Rattus norvegicus: one gene and its partner. The protein of the gene in region 1 purifies or fractionates together with the protein of each later gene. This does not show direct contact. Links are inferred from orthologs where the notes say so. Each region holds a gene or a part of one and is shown in the gene's direction. Other genes may lie near its edges.

The links. The genes of interacting proteins can lie anywhere in the genome.
Region 2: the proteins of Nod2 (region 1) and Ripk2 purify together in Homo sapiens (affinity purification with western blotting; 12 studies listed by BioGRID and IntAct, with this or other methods). This does not show direct contact. The link is inferred for Rattus norvegicus from reciprocal best matches to the Homo sapiens genes NOD2 and RIPK2.

The regions. Positions count from the first base shown.
Region 1 is NC_086037.1:34,585,726-34,596,119, reverse strand, and holds part of Nod2 (nucleotide-binding oligomerization domain-containing protein 2), read left to right. Parts: intron 1-5,477; 5' UTR 5,478-5,485; coding exon 5,486-5,944; intron 5,945-10,394. UniProt on the Homo sapiens protein: Pattern recognition receptor (PRR) that detects bacterial peptidoglycan fragments and other danger signals and plays an important role in gastrointestinal immunity.
Region 2 is NC_086023.1:34,428,293-34,438,686, reverse strand, and holds the end of Ripk2 (receptor-interacting serine/threonine-protein kinase 2), read left to right. Parts: intron 1-1,032; coding exon 1,033-1,118; intron 1,119-2,283; exon of another isoform or gene 2,284-2,407; intron 2,408-4,759; coding exon 4,760-4,846; intron 4,847-6,008; coding exon 6,009-6,102; intron 6,103-8,314; coding exon 8,315-8,476; intron 8,477-8,948; coding exon 8,949-9,286; 3' UTR 9,287-10,114; downstream 10,115-10,394.

The DNA.
Region 1 (10,394 bases):
GGAAGTTTGAGGACTCCCGGAGGACAGCGCTTATTGCTGTGGAGGTGACGACCGTCACAAGTCCCATCCTCAGGACTCTTGTTAATTGGTTCTGGAACTGGCATGTCTGAGCTTCTGGAAGGGACTCTGTTTCTCCTGGAAGCGTTGACAGAGTAGATAGGCTGTAAAAGGAAAGGGTGTCTTGAGGGGAGTCTTGGCCAGCTTTGGTAACAGAGAAAGAAGAGGGTATAGGAAGCACATTGAAGCCCCCAGGATCCTTTGAAGTCTGAGGGGAGGCTTTGATTTGTGGATGGCTGGGACATTGGAGGGAAACTTGCAGGTGAGGTCCTTACCCAGAGGGAGAAAAGCCTGCTTTGGGTCTTAGCAGGAACTATTCCTGGTTCAGTTGCCCCCCTCCACCCCCTTCTCTGTAGGCCTCAGTTTCTCTTTTAGCCTTCAGAAATACTCTCTAACCCCAGCTGCTGCTTCATAATCCTTGCCCCAGCCTCCTGCTTACCGTTACTCATTTGTGAGTGTGGGAGTTGGGATCAAACCCTATTCCTGCCCGGACAGACCCACACCTCCGTGCCCAATGCCAGCTAAGCGCTCAGCCTTTTGCTTGGCTCTCTTTCAAGCCTTTGGTGCTGTCTTTGGACAAGCCAGCTCCCAAGCCTCTGGATAGGTCTGAGCTGGCTGAAGCTCTGACTTCTGTGTCTTTTTTAGAACCTGCAAGGTCCTGGCCTGGGATGGGGGCATTGGCTTTCTGGGATCTCACCCAGGGTTGTTATCCTGGAGGGGAAAAGCCCCATCCCCATCTCTGTGCTCTTGGTGAAGAAGACCAAAGAGTCAGCTTCATTGGCTCTGTCTTAGTCTGTTGTGAGGTCACTGGAGCTCCTGGTTTCTTGGCCACTTGATGCCAGTTGGCCTCTACATGCAGCTCCAAGCTGGCACTGGCTCCATCTTGCCCCCTCTCTCCCACCCAGGTCAGCATTGCAGAGTGGCCCAGTGAACAGGAACTTATTGTTAACAAAGTGGCTTCTATACCTGTTTGGCCAAAGTGTGTGCCTTGCAATCTCTGCTCGCTGGTTCCACAGCTACCTCCCCACACTGGGTGGAATAAACCCACCCTCAACTCATGCAGACCCCATCTGTGCCCTGGGTGATACACAGGGTTATGGTGACTACATCCCGCTAACACCTGCCATCTCAGATGACAGGAAATACTGTGGGGAGAAGAAGCTGGGACAGGGCTTGGGGACTAGGGTTTTGCATAGCAGAGGAAGGCACCTCTGAGACAGTCACTACTGAACAAAATCTTAAGGAGGTGATAGGCAAGTCATGTGACTATCTTGGGGGATAGAGAAAGCTGTGTGTGTGTGTGTGTGTGTGTGTGTGTGTGTGTGTGTGTGTGTGTGAAAAGCAGGAGCATGACAGACCAGAGCAGGCTTCCTTGTTCTGAGAGTAAGGAGCAGGCCAGGAGCTACGGCAGGGTGGAAATGGGGTGGGGGAGTGGGGGGTGGTTAGGAGGAAAGAGGTGGCAGCTGAAATCTCTTGTATTGGGCTTGAGGTCACTCTATAAAAGCTGTTGGCTTTCACTTTGACCATGTGGGAGCTGTGAACAGCTCCTGCTCTGACTTAGGGTCTGGCGGGGTTCATCTAGTTGTGAGGCAGAGATGGAGATTCATGGCAGATGAGGGAACTATGAGGGTGCTGTAGAGCTTACATCATGGTATATGGCTTTTAGACTTGGAGTCTGTTGAAGGTTGGGTGTATAGTCTGTGATACTGGAGAGAGGCAGAGTCAAGCCTGACTGAGCGTTTGGGGCCGCCGTCGTCTGGGAGGGGTGCTGTTAGGAAGGAGATCCAGTGATTGATTTTGTATTTGTCTTTTGGAGATGCTGGTACGCACCACTCGATGCTGAATAGCTCCCAGTAACATTTCAGTCATTGTTATCACACAGTTGGGAATTGGGCCTGTGGGCAGAGAAGCGTCAGTAATTCAGTTCTTGGTGGTGGTGGTGGTGGTGGGGGATGGGGGACAGGACTAGGAACCACTTGGAGACAGAGTGGCTAGAAGGAAGGAGAGTGGGAAGTGGGGTGGAGTATCAGAGAAATCCTTCATGACTTTTGGAGCAGTGCTCCAGGGAGGAGGGTGAGCAGCAGTGCTCCAGGGAGGAGGGTGAGCAGCAGTGTTCCAGGGAGGAGGGGGAGCATCAGTGCTCTAGGGAGGAGGGAGAGCATCAGTGCTCCAGGGAGGAGGGTGAGCATCAGTGCTCCAGGGAGGAGGGTGAGCAGCAGTGCTCCAGGGAGGAGGGGGAGCAGCAGTGCTCCAGAGAGGAGGGAGAGCATCAGTGCTCCAGGGAGGAGGGTGAGCAGCAGTGCTCCAGGGAGGAGGGTGAGCAGAGTGCTCCAGGGAGGAGGGGGAGCAGGGTGAAAGAATGCCCTTGATGACAGAAAGGAAGGTGGGGAACAGAACAACTGGAAATCATGGAGGGGGAAGGAGTTGGAGTGTGGACTTGGGAATGGCAGTTCAGGTCCGGACAAGGGAGAATGGAAAGGAAGGATAGATTAGTCTGTTGGTGCTCTGATGGGAACTGGTTCCCTGAGAAGCAATTCAGAGTTGGAGCAGGAGAGTGGGGTTAGTTAGTGCCCCAGAGAAAGCTTAGCCAGCCAGGGCTGGGACAGTTCAGGGTCACATTTCCCTCTCCCCTGGATGCTTCCCTTCTGCTCCAGTCTGCAGTAGGCCCGTGGCACTGCAAACTAAGTCCTCAACTAGGGACTTCATGAAAACCAGGCTACCTATGATCCTGGACAGGAAGGAAGTGCTAAGAAGGAAAGGTGGGCTTGGGGACTAGGAACCTTTGAAGATACCTTTGGCCCTTTATTTCAGAAAGGAGGTGACCCCTTTGTTTGGGTTGCATCTTGCAGAGCCTAAGAGTGACCCCAAGGTGGCAGTGACCTGGTAGAGAAGACAAGGGTGACAAAGCAATGTGTTTAGCCTGGGGAGAGCAAGTCTGACCAGGTAGGACAAGGACAGGTTTCTGGGACTAACGAATGGAGAACTTCCTGGCTGCTCTGGAGGACAGTACCAAGACCAGACCTTCTTTTCCAGCTGTTTGGGATGAGATAGGGGCTTGGCCTTCTAAGAGGCAGGGGACTGGCAGAATTGATCTTTGGGGATATGTCGTGCCTTGTGTCTGCAGACACTGGCAAGATGGGAATTTCCAACTGCAGTAGAAGACAGAGTACCAAACCACATACATGGCCTTCCTGCCTCACCCCACCTGTATCCACATGGCTGATGTCATTGTCAGGGTGTGGATGGTTTGAGTATCCGATAGGCTCTTTTTTTTTTTTTTTTTTTTTTTTTTTTGGTTCTTTTTTTCGGAGCTGGGGACCGAACCCAGGGCCTTGCGCTTCCTAGGTAAGCGCTCTACCACTGAGCTAAATCCCCAGCTCCATCTGATAGGCTCTTAACATGTCTGCGGAGGGCGGAGGGCTTCTGCTCCCTCACAGCTGTTTCCGTCTGGGAAAGCACATTTATTGGAGACACCTCATGTCACCAGAGTCTTTGAGTGAAAGCCAGTGTAGATGTACCAGGTTTTGTGCCAGGACTGCCACGAACTAGCAAGTTCTGTGTGCTGGCCTGCCACCTCAGGCTTCCTGCTCAGGTTTTTGGGATTTCCCCTTGGGTGGGTTGGCCAGATCAGGGACTGCCTGTGCAACTCCTCTGGGCTTTTGACTCATGTGCTTTGTAGAAGGAGGAAGCAGTAGGCATCTTACCCAGCATTCTCTAGGCAAAGTGAGGTGGGCCATTCAAACTTAGTTCTTTTCATTCTCCACCACTCCCTGGCTGCACCTCAGGCCTCAGGCAAGAGTGCTGACCTCACCTCTGTTTTCCTCTGGGTAGGAAGGGCCAGTGGTTACTTTTCTCAGGACCGAGGCAGGTTTGCATAGTTGAGACTCAGCCCACGACTTGACCCCAGCTCATGCTGCCCCTTGCTGTCGTCTGCCTCTTCCCCATCCTTGGCTCCTCTGCTTGGGCTGAGCACAGGGCTCAGGTGACCTGCTTGGCCAGTGAAGACTCTCAGCTCCTGGTTTACAGTGGCCTCCACGATTGGGATACCTTCTCTCCCGAGCTGTCAGATGTTCAGGTAGCTTCACTGCCTCTTCCGGCCAGCCCCAGGCCTCCAGCCTGCATGCTAACAATGTGGTGTTGACTTAGTGATTGTGGATCATCCCAGAGCATTCTAGCCCCAGCCTTCCCTGACTGGGCTTGGAGTTAACATCCCCAGGGCTTCCAGTGAGCTCATTGCTTTGCAAGCTTAGGGGTGTCAGAGTGAAGGAGTCCTAGCCTGCAGTGTGCCTGCCATAGAGGAAGATGGCAGGTCTTACAGCAAAGACCTGAGCTCCCCAGGCCGTTTCCAGCTGCCCCCACCCGTCTCCTCGAACATCTTAGAATGTCCAAGATTTTGAAACAGAGCCTTTCTTCTGCTTCCTCCTTGCCTAATACTCTTTCGCTTTCTTTTTCCCTGGGCACAGTCCCAGCCCGGAGGCGATTACAAACTGGCCCGCTGAGATTTTTCTCTGTTGCTTAGGGATCTCCATGCTTGAAGTTTCTGATAGTCTCTTCCTCACCGAGCTCCTGAGGACTGTGGCAGCAGGGCAGTGTGCAGTGTTCGTTGCTGAATTCATAGGAAGGAGCCAGGGCCTTTGGTCAGGGATATGGGGTGTGTGTGTGTGTGTGTGTGTGTGTGTGTGTGTGTGTGTGTGTGGGCGCGCGTGTGTGTTACTACCAATGAGTAGCATACCAGTGGGCTCTGAACCAACTTTGTGTGCACTATGACATCCCATTTTTGCTGGAATTGGCATCTTTACAGTAAGCCCCAGCTCTACTCATGGAGCAGTAAGTAGTTATATACAGAGGCAGGACTGAAGGCCTATGGGAATACCAAAGAGACAGGCAAAGGCTTGCATCAGGCAAGAAGTCCCACTGCTTGGGTTCAAACCCTGGCCCTATCTTTCTTAGCTGCAAAATCTCCCTCCCACATGCCTTGGTTTCCCTCTTTGTAGATGGGACTGACACAGCACCTGCTTTCTCGCAGTTGAGACTGAGAAAGGAAATCTTTCAGTAAGACACTTAGGGTGAACTTATTAGATCCAGTGGTTCCAAAGTTGTATGACTGAGCGTAGTCTCTGGTAGAGCCCATGACCCTGCCTAGGAGGGGACTGATCCTCAGAAGCCGACTTCTCCTGTCAGCTCTGCCTTGTGGTGCGAGACAGGGTATGGGAGACCAGAGACTCGAGGATTTAAATGTTTGGATACTTTAAACCCATGGAAACTGCAGCTAGCTTCTTGATATACTGGGGCCTGACTTTGGGAACAGCGCCTGACTACAACTGGCCCACTTGGACTTGGCATAGTTTGCTCCCTACAGCCGTAGCCTGGCTTCTAGAGAAGTCATTTCTTGACCTGTGGCCTTCCCTGCTCTCTTACAGGTTGTGACATGTGCTCACAGGAAGACTTCCAGGCCCAGAGGAGCCAGCTGGTGGCACTGTTGGTCTCAGGGTCCTTGGAGGGCTTTGAGAGCATCTTAGACTGGCTGCTGTCTTGGGATGTGCTCTCCAGGGAGGACTATGAGGGCCTCAGCCTCCCTGGGCAACCTCTCTCCCATTCTGCCAGGCGTCTGCTGGACACAGTCTGCAACAAGGGTGTTTGGGGCTGTCAGAAGCTCTTCGAAGCTGTGCAGGAGGCCCAGGCCAACAGTCACACCTTTGAACTGCAAGGGTGCTGGGACGTTCACTCCCTTCATCCCACCAGAGACCTGCAGAGTCACCGGCCAGCAATTGTACGGAGGCTCTGCAGCCATGTAGAAGCCATATTGGAGCTGGCAAGGGATGAGGGGTTTCTGAGCCAGTACGAATGTGAGGAGATCAGGTTGCCAATCTTCACATCATCCCAGAGGGTAAGCCGTGGCGTGTGTCAGCAGAGTCCACAGGAGCAGGATGCTTAGCCACCAAGACTGTGACTCTTGTAGAGTCAGTCCCACGGAATAACGCCGTTGGTGGGATTTCCCGCACGCAGTTGGCCAGGCAGGTCAGAGTTGCTGCGGCAGCCAAGGGCTTGGCCTCGGTAGCCAGAATGATGCAGTTCGAGGCCAGTTCGGCGTTCGGCATTCGGCATGACTGGATGCTTCTGAACATCCCACAACACATCCTAAGCTCTCCATCTGTTCCTTTTTCTTTCTTCTTTTTCTTGTTTGTTTCTGAGGCTTCTTGTTCTACCCCAGCCTTAACCTCTGCCCTTCATTTCTCCCATCTCACTTTCCTCCTCTGCAGGGTACTGCTCACCTCCAATGCTCAGGTTTGGGGGAGAGCTCCCTGAGCACCCATATACCAATTAGAGATGTGTCTGGCATCACCACCCGCCCCTGGCTGCTGTCATTTCTGTTTGAGTGGCCCTCTGTACTTGCAGACTTTCGCATCAACAGATCGATGGAGAATAATTCTGCATTACGTTAAATCTGAACTTAATCGTGTAGCCTACTGTGTGCCAATATAGTTTAAACACCCACCTAGGATTTTAGATTGAAATAGCATTAGAACTAGTCCCTGAAATGCAATGATTCAACAGAAACCACACTGACAGAAAAGTATCCCTGGGTAGCTCTGAAACTTCTATTTTCCTGTAAATAATGGTCCTCAGGCTGTCTGTGGAACATGGAAAATGGTAACATTCTACTTTACAGTTCTGGGAAATCAGCAGGCTTTAGCCTTGACCCATCCATCCATCCATCCATCCATCCATCCATCCATCCATCCATCCATCCATCAATCCACAGTCTATGAGGCTTACCGTATGCCTGATTCTGTGCAGAAGCTTGCTGTGTTGAGAGCTTTACATGTGATAGGCGTCTGGTCAGTACTTGGTGATGAAATAAATGAGTTGTTAGAACTACGTGTCAGCGTGAGGATGGGTGAGTTGACCTTGGGGTGAGCTTGGGGAAATTCCCCTGGGGCAGATGCAATGAGCATCTCTGGGTTCAGCTTGAGGCGGGTAAGTCTTCACAGAACACGCACGACTTAGCCTTCTTATTCCTGCACACAGGGCCTGAAGGTGTGACCCTGTGTACCTTCTATTCCATTGGCATTCAAAAGCACATATTAATAAATCCTCAGTGCTTCCTGTGATCGGTTGTGGGGATAGGACCAGCTCACCTACCCAAGTGAGACCGTAATTCATCACCTTTGATGTAGTGCTCAGCAGTGAATCCAGGGAGGATTCTCCAAGGATCTGAGGAAGGAAGCCAGATGCTTATCCCCCATGGGAGCGTTAATACCCAAAGTATCTAGACTGTCCAAGAAAAGAAAATGGGATAACCTACAGGCCAAAGAAGCAACCAGTGGCTAGCCAGAAAGAAAGATCTAATCGAGGTCTGTTGGCTGCAGCAGGACCGAGGGGGCTATGACCTATTGGAAAGAAGAGAGGCTGAATGGGCAAAGACTCTTATGTCAAGAAAGAATGAAGTGTGGCCAGATGCCTTTAACATAGGACTCAGTGGGTTTCAGGCCAGCTAAGACTACATGTTAAAGCCTGTGTCGAAAGAAAAGAAAGGAAGGTAGGAAGGACAGGCGGACAGAAGGCCAAGTAGACAGCAAAAGCCAACACTGAAGATGAAGGAGTGAGCTGAGGGAAGGGACAGTGGATAGCACCTCTGAGGATTTAGAGGTGACAGAGGGGCCCCACGGCTTGAAGTAAAGTGATTAGAACCTGCTTTGTCTTAGCTCCTCAGCTCTGGCATCCTGGGATCTGTGGCTTTCTTTCCCTCAGTGACTCAATTTCTGACTCCGTGTAGGTGGCATTTATGGTATCTCCAGCTGACAATGTCTCTAGTATTTGACCTTTTAATTTCTTGATAGAGGTGGCTCTCATTGGTTGAAGGTTGGGAACTGAAAGTGTGGAAGGAAGCAGAAGTTGGGTTAAAGAGCCCCCTTTATCCCCATTTCTGAGCATTACAGGGAGGGTGCACACTTGGCTGTGGACCAGCTTGCTCTCCAGTGGCACAGTTAAACCCTGCTACATTCTTCCAGCGGTGAAGGGCGTGTTTGTTGAAAATGAAGAACATATTGCCTGTTTGAGAAGGGCTAGCTAGGAACTGGATTTCGGTCTGTTTCTTTCCAAGGAGTGTACACTTACTTCCCTTTGTGTCATAAGATGTGAGAGCTTTGCGTAGCTTTGCTCAGTTGGGGATAACAGTTGTTGGGAAACCTCAGGCTGGTAACACCAACTGTGATGCCAGCTGTCCGTGTGACTCATGCAGATGCTAAAGCCCATGGGGCTGAGGTATCAGTGTAAGCTCTGACTTGCTTGCTTCTCTCATAGAGCCAACTATGACAGTTTTATATTGGGAAAAGTACCACGCCTACAAAATAGTGTATAAACTTCCTATGTCTAGAGTAAAAACTTCCCCATATCCAGATGAAGAAACTGCCTTATTGATACCCTATCCTTTAGGTCTAACCAGTAGAGGCAACCAGTGATCTAACTTGTCTGTTCATCATTCCTTTGCCTTCGTTTATGGTTTTGTGTCTTTTGCAAGAAATTTCCAAAAAGTGTATTTAATTAAAAAGAAAAGGAAGAAGGAGAAGGAGGAGGAGGAAGAGGAGGAGGGGGAAGAAGAGGAAGAAGAGGAGGAGAAGAAGGAGAAGAAGGAGAAGAAGGAGAAGAAGGAGAAGAAGAAGAAGAAGAAGAAGAAGAAGAAGAAGAAGAAGAAGAAGAAGAAGAAGAAGAAGAAGAAGAAGAAGAAGAAGAAGAAGAAGAAGAAGAAGCAAGCTAAACATAATTGTGTCAGGAAACAGAAATATTACCTTTTCTTCTTAGATGGAAACTCCCAGGACTAGGGATGTGTCTAGCTTCTCCTTCCTTGGGAGTCTGTTTTGGGACCTTCTAGTAGGCCAATGTCATTGATGAGTCTAGGGAAATCCTGGGCTTGTTCAAGCTGGAGCATCTGGCGGAGCTGGGGTGAACAAATGGGCAGAATGTCACTGGGAATGTAGTTTGGGGAAGTGGAGCATGCAGCCCAGTCTGCTTTAAGTCTGATTCTGACTGTGAGGACTAGGTCAAGGGTAAGTAGTTCTATGGATGACACCATTGTCCTCCCGTGACATAGGCTGGTTTACTCCATTTGGGTAGACCATCTATCCTCTCCAAATATTCTATTTTTTTAAATAGACAATTTAGGAATTGAATTTTCGGAGTGTTTAAAGCTTCCCTCATAGTTGATTGGCAGTTTGATTGGGTATAAAATCCTAGTGGCCCACCTGTAAGCCCAGCTTCCTGGAAGGCTAAGCAGGCATATAGAAAATGTAAGGCCTATGTGTACTACGGAGTGAGTGGGTTTAAGAATAGTCTGGTCAGTTTGGTAAGACCATGTCTCAAAGTAAAGAGCTCTGAAGTCATACCTGAGTAGTAAGAGCTAGCATGTGTGGCACCCTGAGTTTTATTCCCAACACTGCAAACAATCAAATTAGTAAATTAATATACATTCTGGCCATCATTTCCCTTTAGAATTTTCATGGCATTACTCCATTATCTTCCCTGTTTAGGGCTGCCACTGAGACTTCAAAGACGATTTTCTATCTCTTTCTTAAGCCTGTCAAAATTTCTTTTAGTCCATAATATGCTGAAATTTGTTGTTCCCTTTCTTCTCTCTTCATGGAATTGTAGCTGCTTGAGTGCTGAAGTTTCTGGATGAACCCTCCAGTTCTCTTCCGTTTTCCATCACTGTGTGTCCTGCTACTGTTGTTTTTGAGACTGGATCTTACCCTGTAGCCTGAACTGCCCTGGAACTCCTATGTAGCACAGGTTGGCCTCAGATTTGGGGCAGTCCTCCCAAGTGCTGAGACTACAGGCATGACCCACACAGCTGCCTTTTGCAGTTTTCTGTGTGGTATTTTCAACCCTGAACTCTTGAAGTTTTCATCTTTGCTTTGGCACTTGCAGCCTGTAAGGGCTATTTTTACTGTTTCTTTATTACAGCGACTTGCTCTTGGTTTAGGGAACGCAATCTTTTATGTAGACAAGATAATACTGTTTTTTTTGTTTGTTTGTATGATTGATTGAGTTGTTTAATTCATGCTATATACATTTTTGTGCTATTGATGGAACCCAGAGCTTTCACATGCAAAACAATCGCTCTACCACTGTGTGACATCACTCACTCCCTGTATAAACCTTCAAACCTTCTCTTCCCTATTAAATTGGCTCTGATCTCCTATATTTGATACTTTCTTTGGGCATAGGTAAGTCTTGGTTATGTGTCTTATTATTAAAAAGACAGATTGTGAAATTTACTGAGCAAGCAGGTGAAAGCTGTCCACAGTGATTTCCACCATAGGTAGTTAGGAAATGGTAGT
Region 2 (10,394 bases), on another chromosome or scaffold:
TGCGCGCGCAAGTTCACGTGTGTACAAGCATATTCTGTCAGTGTCCAGACTTAGTTCTTTCCTTTCAGCACGGTGCTGGAATCAAGCTAAGGCAGTCAGTCTTCACAGCAAGCACCCACTGAGTTATCATCCTGGCCCACCCTCGTAGAATACTTCATTCATGCTAGATAAAAGCCCTTCAGCAGATAATTCAACTTGAAATATGTTCTCCTATTCTGTGGCTTTGATTCTCATTTTTTTTAAGGATATGTTCTCTCTAGAGCCAGGTTCTCAACCTTCCTAATGCTGAGACCCTTTAAATAAGTTCCTCACGTTGTGGTGACCCAAACCATAAAATTATTGTTGTTGCTACTTCATAGCTGTAATTTTGCTACTGTTATAAATCGTAATGTAAATATCAGATATGCAGGATATCGGACATGTAGGATATCCGATGTGCAACCCCTGTGAAAGGGTCATTCAACCCCCAAGAGGGTCACGACCCACAGGTTGAAAAGCACTGCTCTAGATTATAATTTTTCAAATTGTTTTTGGAAGTCTGGTTGTTGGGTTTCTGTAAATCTTAACTTTGACCTCACATCTAAGGATTTTTCCCTAACTCCCCTAACTCGAGGCTTTGAATATTTGCTCCTGTTTATACTTAAGTAAATGATCTACTGTGACTTAATGTTTATGTATGGTATGCAAATAAGGGTATAAATGACCTGTTTTAATATGGGTATTCAGATGGCTTAGTAAAGTTTACTTTAAAGACTGCCCTTGCCCTGTGGAATTTTAGGCCTCTGTGGAGAATCAGCTTTCCAGAATTGTGACAGTTCACTTGAAGGCTGCTAACTGGGTTCTGTTGGTCCTCATGTCTGTTTATGCCAGCAGTAAAATTCCTTAAAGTAATTGGATGTCATCGTTTTATTGAAAGATTGATGTGGAGCCTTATAAGATAAATGTTAACATTTCCTTTTAATTATTAGAAGTGATCTGAACTTAAAATTGTTGGGTTTTTGTTTTTTTGGTTTTTTTCTTTTCCTTATTTAGAATGCTTAATAGAACTTGAACCAGTTCTGAGAACATTTGAAGACATAACTTTTCTTGAAGCTGTTATTCAGCTAAAAAAATCAAAGGTAAATCTCCCTTTGAAACTTTGTAACTTAGAACTTTACAAAACTGAATGTCACTCCTGAAGTTTTAAATTAATTTCCCAGAAACAGGCTAGAATTGGGGGTTGGAGTTGGGAGAATTTACAAGGGTCAAGATTGTCACCAGTGGGCATTTCCATTTCTCTCAAATGGGCCACCTTCAGATTTAACAGTTTCAGAGTCTGCAGCATATCAGATGTGGACTTAGGATCTCTGCTAAGGGTCCTGTGCACAGCAAACGCCCTGTGTCACTCACAGCCGCGCATATGATAAGTGTTGTCTGTGTTTCCTTCTGTAAGTGCTAACACCTGCAGACTTAGTTCTAGCTCTTCTTTCAAGTACTTGGGATTTTTTTTGGGGGGGGGTTGTTTTGTTATGGTTGGTTGGGTTATTTTTGTTTTGTTTTGTTTTGAGATTTATCACCAAGTAAAACAGTCACATTTATGTTATATTTGATCCCCCAAAGTGTACTTTTATTCCTCGGCTTTTATTTTGTTTTCTCGCTCAAATACTTCACACTGCATAAACCAAACTGTCAGAAAAGTTAATGTAAACTACCTGGGACAGTTGTCTGATCAGTGTAGCTCTTGTGGATCAGAACAACTGAGGATTTATAAAGCATTTGTAGCTCCTTTAAGCAAAGTGAGCGTAGGCTAGCACTTGCTGGGTTTCATTCATTTGCACTGTGTATATGATAATCAGATTGCCAACTAGCCCAACTCTTGACTGATTAACAAGCATGATCTACTGTTTCTTTATTGACTGTGACAGTGTTTGCCTTCCCCTCTGATTTTGCTGGACCTACTAGCGCATGACCTTTCATTTAAAGATTAGTTTGTAAAAGAAACAGCCACTCATAATCAAAATAAAGACTTACTATAGCAATATTAATATCTAACTTTTCAATTTGACTCCATTGATGAACATGTCTTTTTTTTTTTTTTGCAAATACCATGGCGAGTATCCAAGTTTTAGAGGAACTAAATATGAACTCTGTATTCTTTTTCTAACATCTCCAACTCACCAATTTCTGAGTAGGGTTCAGACTTCTCCAGAGATACCAATGTCTGTTGTTAATGTCTGTCTTGTCTTTTCTTTTCTTCTCCTATTTTCTCCTTACAAATTTATCTTTTTCTCATCTTTCTCTAAGCGAAACTAGATGAGTAGGGACCTGGTGGTACCGTCCTGTAATCCCATCTACTTGGGTAGGCTAAGAGGAGGATTGCAGACTCAAGGTGTGCCTGGGCTACAGTGTGAGCTCAAGGCCAGCATGGGTAAGTTAGCTAGACCTGTCTCAAAATTAAAAATAAAAAGAGGGAGGGAACCTCGGGGTAGAGTTCAGTGGCAGAGCATTAAACAAAAAAGAAACAGACAAAGAAGGAAACACAGAGGCCTACTGTCTTGGCTGTGACGATAAAGCAAACTGTCCCACACCCCTTTTCTGTCTTCAAACACTTCAAGCACTCACATACTATATGTAAGGCTTGATGTTTAAAAGTTGTATCTTCTTAAGTAAAGTATATGTTTTCAGATAATTTAGTAATCACATGGTGGATTTATCATTGTTTTCATGTCACAGTGTTATTTTACATAAAGTTACAGTTGGGGAGGGTGAAGTCCTAGCTTCTTTAGATGGGATTATTGCACTATAGAAACGTTAGCCACACAACAGCCCAGACAGCGGGGTAGGGAGTTAGAGGCCAAGCATGGTGGTGCTTCTCATCCCAGCTGCTCTACAGGTACAGGCTGAGGAACTGAATTTGAAGCCAGGCCAGCCTGACAAACATAAACAGTATAATGAGACTCTGTCCTACACAAACACACGTCTAGAATGGCTTGTTTTACTTAGATTTTCTATATTTTAAGTTCTTTTAAAATTCTAGTTCTTACTATTTGGGTTTGTCCATGTTAAGTGTTTCCTATATCTTAAAAAAGAAAATAAAAAGTGAACCAAAAAATTTTTCTTTTATACTTTCTTATATTTTTCCTCTGGTCCATGAACAATTTGAATTATCTTAGCTCATTAGTTTGTTTTTTTTTTTAAAAAAAAAAGGATATTGCTTATAAAGAACTGTATTAGAAATGTTTCAGTAAAAGTCAGGAAAACTTTACATAACAGACATAGCCAAAAGCTAATTTAAAGATGCATATAGAATTTTACATGTGGTGTGGTGGTGCATGTCCTTAACCCCAGAGTCAGATGGCAAAGGCAAGTGGATCTCTGTACGTTCAGGAGGAAGATCCAGCTCCTCAGGGGTCACATAGTCTCGACCCGCACAGAGACGCTTGCTGAATGACAGCGTACCGAATAATAAACTAGATCACTGTGTATGCAGGCGGCTACGAGTCTTTTCCTCCCGCTGCAGCAGGAAGTTGTAGTGAGACGTGGAGAGCTTGGTGCAGAACCCCATGTAGAGGGGAAAAGTAAACTTAGCTATGTGTGGTACTTTTCACCTGTAATAACAGGATTCCGAAGCAGAGGCAGGTGGATTGTTGTGAGTTTTGGGGCCAGCATGGTCTAGGTAGTAAAATCCAGGCCAGCCTGACCCTAACTACAGAGTGAGATTCTGTGTGAAATGGAGTTGAGGCAGGGAGTAGACTTCCAGATTTGTTTTTAAATGACTTAGTAGTGATGACAGCTTGTCTAAGTCTAGATTATGGAGTCAAATTTAAATCACTTAAGTATAAAACTACTGCATTTAAGGAAGCAAATCACCTATATAGCACCTACCTTCCATTGAATACCTGCAAGTAATCTTAGGGCCCTTTTGCATGTATCACTTCTAATTCTCCTTATAGTAACCCTACTAAATGAGTATCCTTATCTTTAACATATAAATAGGAAAATTAATGTTAAGTTGCATCCCCTGGCCCTTGCACATGCAAGCAACCCTAATTAAACTCAGTACAATGATAGATAGATAGATAGATAGATAGATAGATAGATAGATAGATAGATAGATAGATAGATGTTATATATAGATAGAGATTTTTTAACTTTTTAATAAAAGTAGGACAGAGGGCAAGATGAGAAGTAGAGTTTCAAAGGGTGTAGGAGGGACATAAGAAGAAAATGGACTGATGACTGTGACCAATATACATAATAGATATGTAAGGGTCAGTTAGTGACACATCATGGGCTCTAGACTTGACCATGACATAAACACGAGTGCACACACACACACACACACACATGTATGAGTGCACATACACACACCATACCATGGTAAGACACTACCACCTATACATCAACCCAACCTTGGTTTCTTTTAAGTACAGTAAAAATAGTAATAGAATTTAGAGTATAGTCTATGAAATACAGTTTTGTATAGTAACAATCATGGATAGATAGAGCACACAGCAAAATTGAATGCCTGGCTGGAACCAAATTCTTTATTATCTCAATCTTTAAATAGTCCTGTTTGTAATTATTAAAGATGAAGCCGTAACATCTTAAAATAATATTTATTAGATCAAATAATGAATATGTGGCAGGATGCAAAGTCTGTTCCCTAGGCATTTCTTATTCTGTACTGTCTCTAATTAAGTTATATATTCCCAAATGATGTAGATTTTGTTTCCACTGATTTTTCTGTAAACACAAAACATGTGTATGTTTGTTCCAGATACAGAGTGCATCGAGTACAATTCACTTATGTGATAAGAAAATGGATTTATCACTGAACATACCTGCAAGCCATCCTCCACAGGAGGTACAAATATACCTGTTATACTAAACTTGAATATGAGAGGAACATTAAAACTCTTTTAGTCAAACATCTCTTATATAGATGGAAAACTAAAGTCCAGGAAGCATTAGCTAAGTAGTCATGACAGTCTCTAAGCTGAAATCTCACTCTTTGGATGATGCTCTAGGGCCGTGTATGGGTAAGTCATCAGTGATAATTTCACCACCGTTTTATACCACCCTTCTACCTCTTACAATAAATATTAAGTTTCTGCTGCTTTCCAAGAGCTATTTCTTTAATTGGTCATTTTTACGAATCATTTAAAGATTATATATCTATTTTACAGGTTCATAAGAGTAACAGTACATTCAAAAGAGCACTAAAGCATACCACATAGTTGTGTTTTTTTTTTACACTTGTGTATACAGCATGAGTACATGTGGATGTTTGCGTGTGTGTTAAAGGCTAACTTGCAGAAATCCATTCTCTCCTTTACTATGTGGTTCTCAAGGATCAAATTCAGGTTATCCACTTGGCTACCCACCGAAACACCACACTGACCCACAGTACATAACTTCAAAATCACTTTTATATAAAGCATCTGGTTTGATCATTGAATAATATGCTAATTTTTGATGAAGCATTAAAGCCAGAGAGTTTCAGTGAATTTTCGCAGGGCAGTAAGCAATCGGTGACAGAGCTAAGAGGGGAAATCTCCATAGTTTCTCCAAGCATTTCTCTGTGCCTTCAGGTTGAAGGAGCTGAGAATAAGCCTTTGCTCTAAATCAGTAGGTAACCACATGTTTCTCACTCATCATTATAGCCACTGAACAGGTCCTCTGAATCTGATGGCTTATAGTTATTTCCAGTATTGCCCCATCCCTTCCATTTGAGTTGATAAAGAAATTAAATTTAGAGATTAAGGATATAGCTCACCTGGCAAGTCTGGGGCTCTAGGTTCAATCCCTAGTAGAGAAGAGGGTGAAAAAGAAATTATATTCACTTGTGATGCTTTTATACCTTATTTCTTTGGCTCTGTAAACTATAATTTATAATAGCTCCGGTTTTCAATATTTGATAAGCAAGAATCTAGAAACTATAGCCATGTAATTTTAAAGATGATGCCTTTCTACAAAGCTTTACGTATATGACTCCCCTCAACCTGTTGACCCTCGGTTTACTTTAGGAATCATGTGGATCCTCTCTGCTCTCTAGAAACGCTGGTTCTCCTGGAACCTCCAGGTCTCTGTCAGCTCCTCAAGACAAAGGTTTTTTCCATGGTATGTCCATTTTTCAGTCAGCATGCTTACATAGCCTTTGCACCTTCTTTCAAATTATACCCTTGGCAGACAGATGTTGTGCATGAAACACATTTCTTATTTGCATTCATGCTCCATTTTTTTTAAAGTGACAAGTTGCATATGTAAAGGTAGGAGTGGCATGATGAACAAATATGTTTATATTAAAGGCATTCTGGGATCATGATGGAAAGGTTGTTTTTCTTAATTTCATAAGAAAAAAGAGAAGTGTTTCAAAGTTACCATAGTAACTATATTTTAAGAGGGATATAAATATATAGATATATAGATACAACTACAGGAAACAAGACACATTCTTAAGGAAGTATTTTTAATAGCTGTGTGAGGGAGCTAGTCTTAGACCTTGTTTATAGATTACGAACTCTCTCTGGATCACATAGCACATAGCTAGAAGATCCAAGATGAGTAAAGCCAGGCTCTTTGACGAATACTTTCATGTCACTCTACTGTATTATTCCATCATGAAGACCTTATTTCTGGCTAAAGGCTGACCTCAACTTACGACAGATAGGTATTCCGTAAAAAGAACAATATGGAGTCCAGAAGCAAGGAACAGTCAGTGTGTAATTTAGTTTGTCTTATACATAGAGTGAAAAAGAAGAGATAAAAAATGAAGGAGGATTACAGTGGTATCAGCAAGAATTCCTTGAGCCTGGAGAGATGGCTCAGGATAAAGAGTGCTTACTGCTTTTCCAGAGCACTCAGGCTCAATTCCCACCACCCACACAACATCTCAGAACTGTCACAGCTCCAGTTCCAAAGAATCTGCCACCCTATTCTGGCCTCCATAGACACTAAGTATTCACAGTGCATAGGCATAAATGCAGAACAAAACTCTTACACATACATATATATTTTTAATTTTAAAAAATTAATTAAAATAGAAAAGAATTCCTAAGTGACTGTCAAAAGAAGGGTATCAGATATAAATTTTTGCTTTAGGAAGGCTCATCCTGGTTGAAATTTGAAAAAAAAAATATTGTTTGGGAGTTGAGGGTAGATGTGGCTAGGGCATCACAAAGAGAGCCACACATGCCACGGTGCACATGTAGAGGTCAGAAGTCATCTTTTGAGAGTCACTTACCCCTTTCCACTGTGGATTGTGGGAATCAAATCGAGGTGAAGTTAAGTGTATTGACCCACCGAGCCACCATGATGGCTCTGCAGAAGCCACTTGAAGGGAAGAGGAGACTTGGAATAAGGACAATTAAAAGGGATAACAGGGAAGGCAGTGAGAGAGATTAGGACGACTCCCTGATACCTTATGACTGCTCACCTGAGCTGAGGGAGAAGGCCATGAAGCTAAATACTACATTGTTAAACTGTGAAAACACACAGCTCTTAGAACTAACAACTGGGGGTAGGGGTTGGGGATTTAGCTCAGTAGGCCCTGGGTTTGGTCCTCAGCTCCAGAAAAAAAAAAAGAAACTAACAACTGAAATGGGGTTCAGTTAAATGGATGGTGATTATGATTTACATTTTTTTTATGTTTTGTTTGTTTTGTTTAGTGCGTATTGGGGAGATGTGCAGTGAGCCTCTGAGAATGTTGAATGTGTTCAGTAGTGACAGAAAGATAATTACAGAAACAGGATAAACAGTTGGAACCCTGAAATTGTTTTCTAGAGGGGAAAGCGGAAAACACATGTCAAATATAGACTTATAGCACTTAAAAGTCCGGGTATCTGACAGACAGACATAAGACACATGTAAAGTGGAAAGGGGGAGTTCACAGGGAAGAAGGTTGAGATTGTGAGAACATCGGAAACTTCCTGATTTATAGTAAACATAGACCAGGCAAGTACTAACAGTAGTTAAAAACAAAAACTAGTCAGTATGAAGGTTTATTCCTCTAAAAAGTGTTGGCAGGGCCAGCTAGATGATTCTATGGGTAAAGGTACTTCTTAACAAGCCGGCAACCTGAATTTGATCATCTAAATTCACATAGTAGAAAGAGAGCTGAATCCTACATGTTGACCTCTGACCTTCACACACACACACACACACACACATGCACATATGCACATGCAAATATTCCAGGTATTTTCAGAATTGGATTTCTGAAGTAGCTTCAGTGACACTGCAAAACCAAAGCCGTTAGAGCCTACCTTCTATGTAACCCAGCCGTTGGTATTTTATCTAATGAAAGCTCTTCCTGTGATGAACTGTTCTGTAGGAGGACCTCAAGACTGTTCTTCGTCGAAGGCGTACCATTGTCCTGGAAATCACAGCTGGGATGGTATCATTTCTGTGTCACAAGAGGCAGCCTTCTGTGATCGCAGAGCCAGCTCGTGCTCCTTGACTGTGATAAGGCCACTGTTGGTTGAGAAAAGTTCAGGTGAGTGTATGCTGTGAGTTACACTGCAAATGCTGGTGTTTTCCTTACAAGTACCCGAAGCATTGATTCACTGTACAGTAAGTTTTCTTAGTTTTCATCCCATGCCTCATTTAATATTTGTTTAAGTAGGAAAGCATTTCCAAACTGAGTGCTGACCACATGCATTCTAGGAATCTCTAACCTAGAAGGAAGTGTAAGAGGAAGCCTTACTTTCACTGTTAGATAGGCAGGTACCCTTAATATTTGAACAAAACAAAAATTAAAGTCATTGTGCTCTACGACATAACATGTAAAAACATAATATTCTTTCTGGAAGGGGAATGGGGAGCTACAACTCAAGTCTCTGGTAGTTCCTGGATAATGGAAGAATGTTCAAAAAATACTCTTCACACCTTACTCACTCACGCAGAATCATACTCGTTGCCTGTGTCTGTCCTCGGCCCTGTAATTCTCATGCGCTGCTTTCTTGCAGAGCGCCCACAACCCGGGATAGCACAACAGTGGATCCAGAGTAAGAGGGAAGCCATTGTGAGCCAGATGACTGAAGCCTGCCTGAACCAATCCCTGGACGCCCTTCTGTCTCGGGACCTGATCATGAAGGAGGACTATGAACTCATTAGCACCAAACCTACAAGGACCGCAAAAGTCAGACAGCTGCTAGATACCTCTGACATCCAAGGAGAAGAGTTTGCCAGAGTTATAGTACAGAAGTTGAAAGACAACAAGCAGATGGGGCTTCAGCCTTACCCGGAAGTACTTTTGGTTTCCAGAACACCATCTTCAAATGTCCTTCAAAATAAAACCTTATAAGGGGGCCTTCTTTGAGGGGAAAGTCGGTTTACAAATGATTATTTATATTTCTGTTACCTGTATAATATTTGTATAAAAACATGAGAGTATTAGATGCTTCAGTGAAGGTTTTTGGAAGAGTCTCTTCCCATGACGTTGCAGTATTTTTTTTTAAATTAATATAAGTAAAAAGTTTGCATTATGCTGTGTAGTTCAGTTTTTATGTCAGCTTCACTACTTGAACTTTTTTTTAATGTGATAATCACATTTTTCTTATATGTAACAAGCCTTCGTTTCTGATGGAAGACATTTTCCCACTCACCTGACCTGTGGATTCCTCATTATTCCTCTAAAGTGCGGTTTGACATTACATAGCAGTGATATGGTGTTGCCCCTCTGCAACCCCAAGTTCAGATCTCCAGAGAGTTACTCATTTTTAAATTTGATTTACAAATTCTTTAGAAGGTGGTTTCAAGGAATACAAAGTGTATAAAGAAGAAAAAAAAGAGAGAGAGAGAGAATCTTTTACTAACACTGGCCGTCCGTGTACCTCTGCTTGACCTTTGCCTCCTGTCTTTCTCCAGAGCAAGCAGCCCATTGTGTATCCTGCTGCAGCCTGCTTCCGGCTCCTATTTTAAGAATATGCTGGTTGGGTAGAGGCCGGCCTTTGCTTCGCTATTTCCTTTGTAACACACCATGGTTTTTGAACTGAAGGGTACATCCGGTGTCTCCCCCAGCTCACCTAACTAACTCCGTTCAATTACCGCACAGCGGCCATGCCTCTCTGTGTTTGCTTTTCCAAGCGTGTTCTCAACTTCACGACAAACAATAAAAAGGCAATACAGTGTGCGTTCCTTTTATCTTTTGGTTCTTAGCTTATGTCGGTAAAGGTAACCTTTTTTCTGAAAACTGTTGACCAAAGTTAGACGTGAGAAATGGTATGAATTTGAAAGTTCAAACTTGTAGGAAGCGCCTGACTTGTAACTTAAAACAGTATGAATACGGGATAAAAGGACTTAGGTCAATGAAATATTTCTTAATTTGAAAAAAAGTTTAAACACCAAGGTTGGAGAGATGGTTCAGTACAGTTCTTAGGAGCACTGGCTGCTCTGTGAGAGGACCCAGGTTC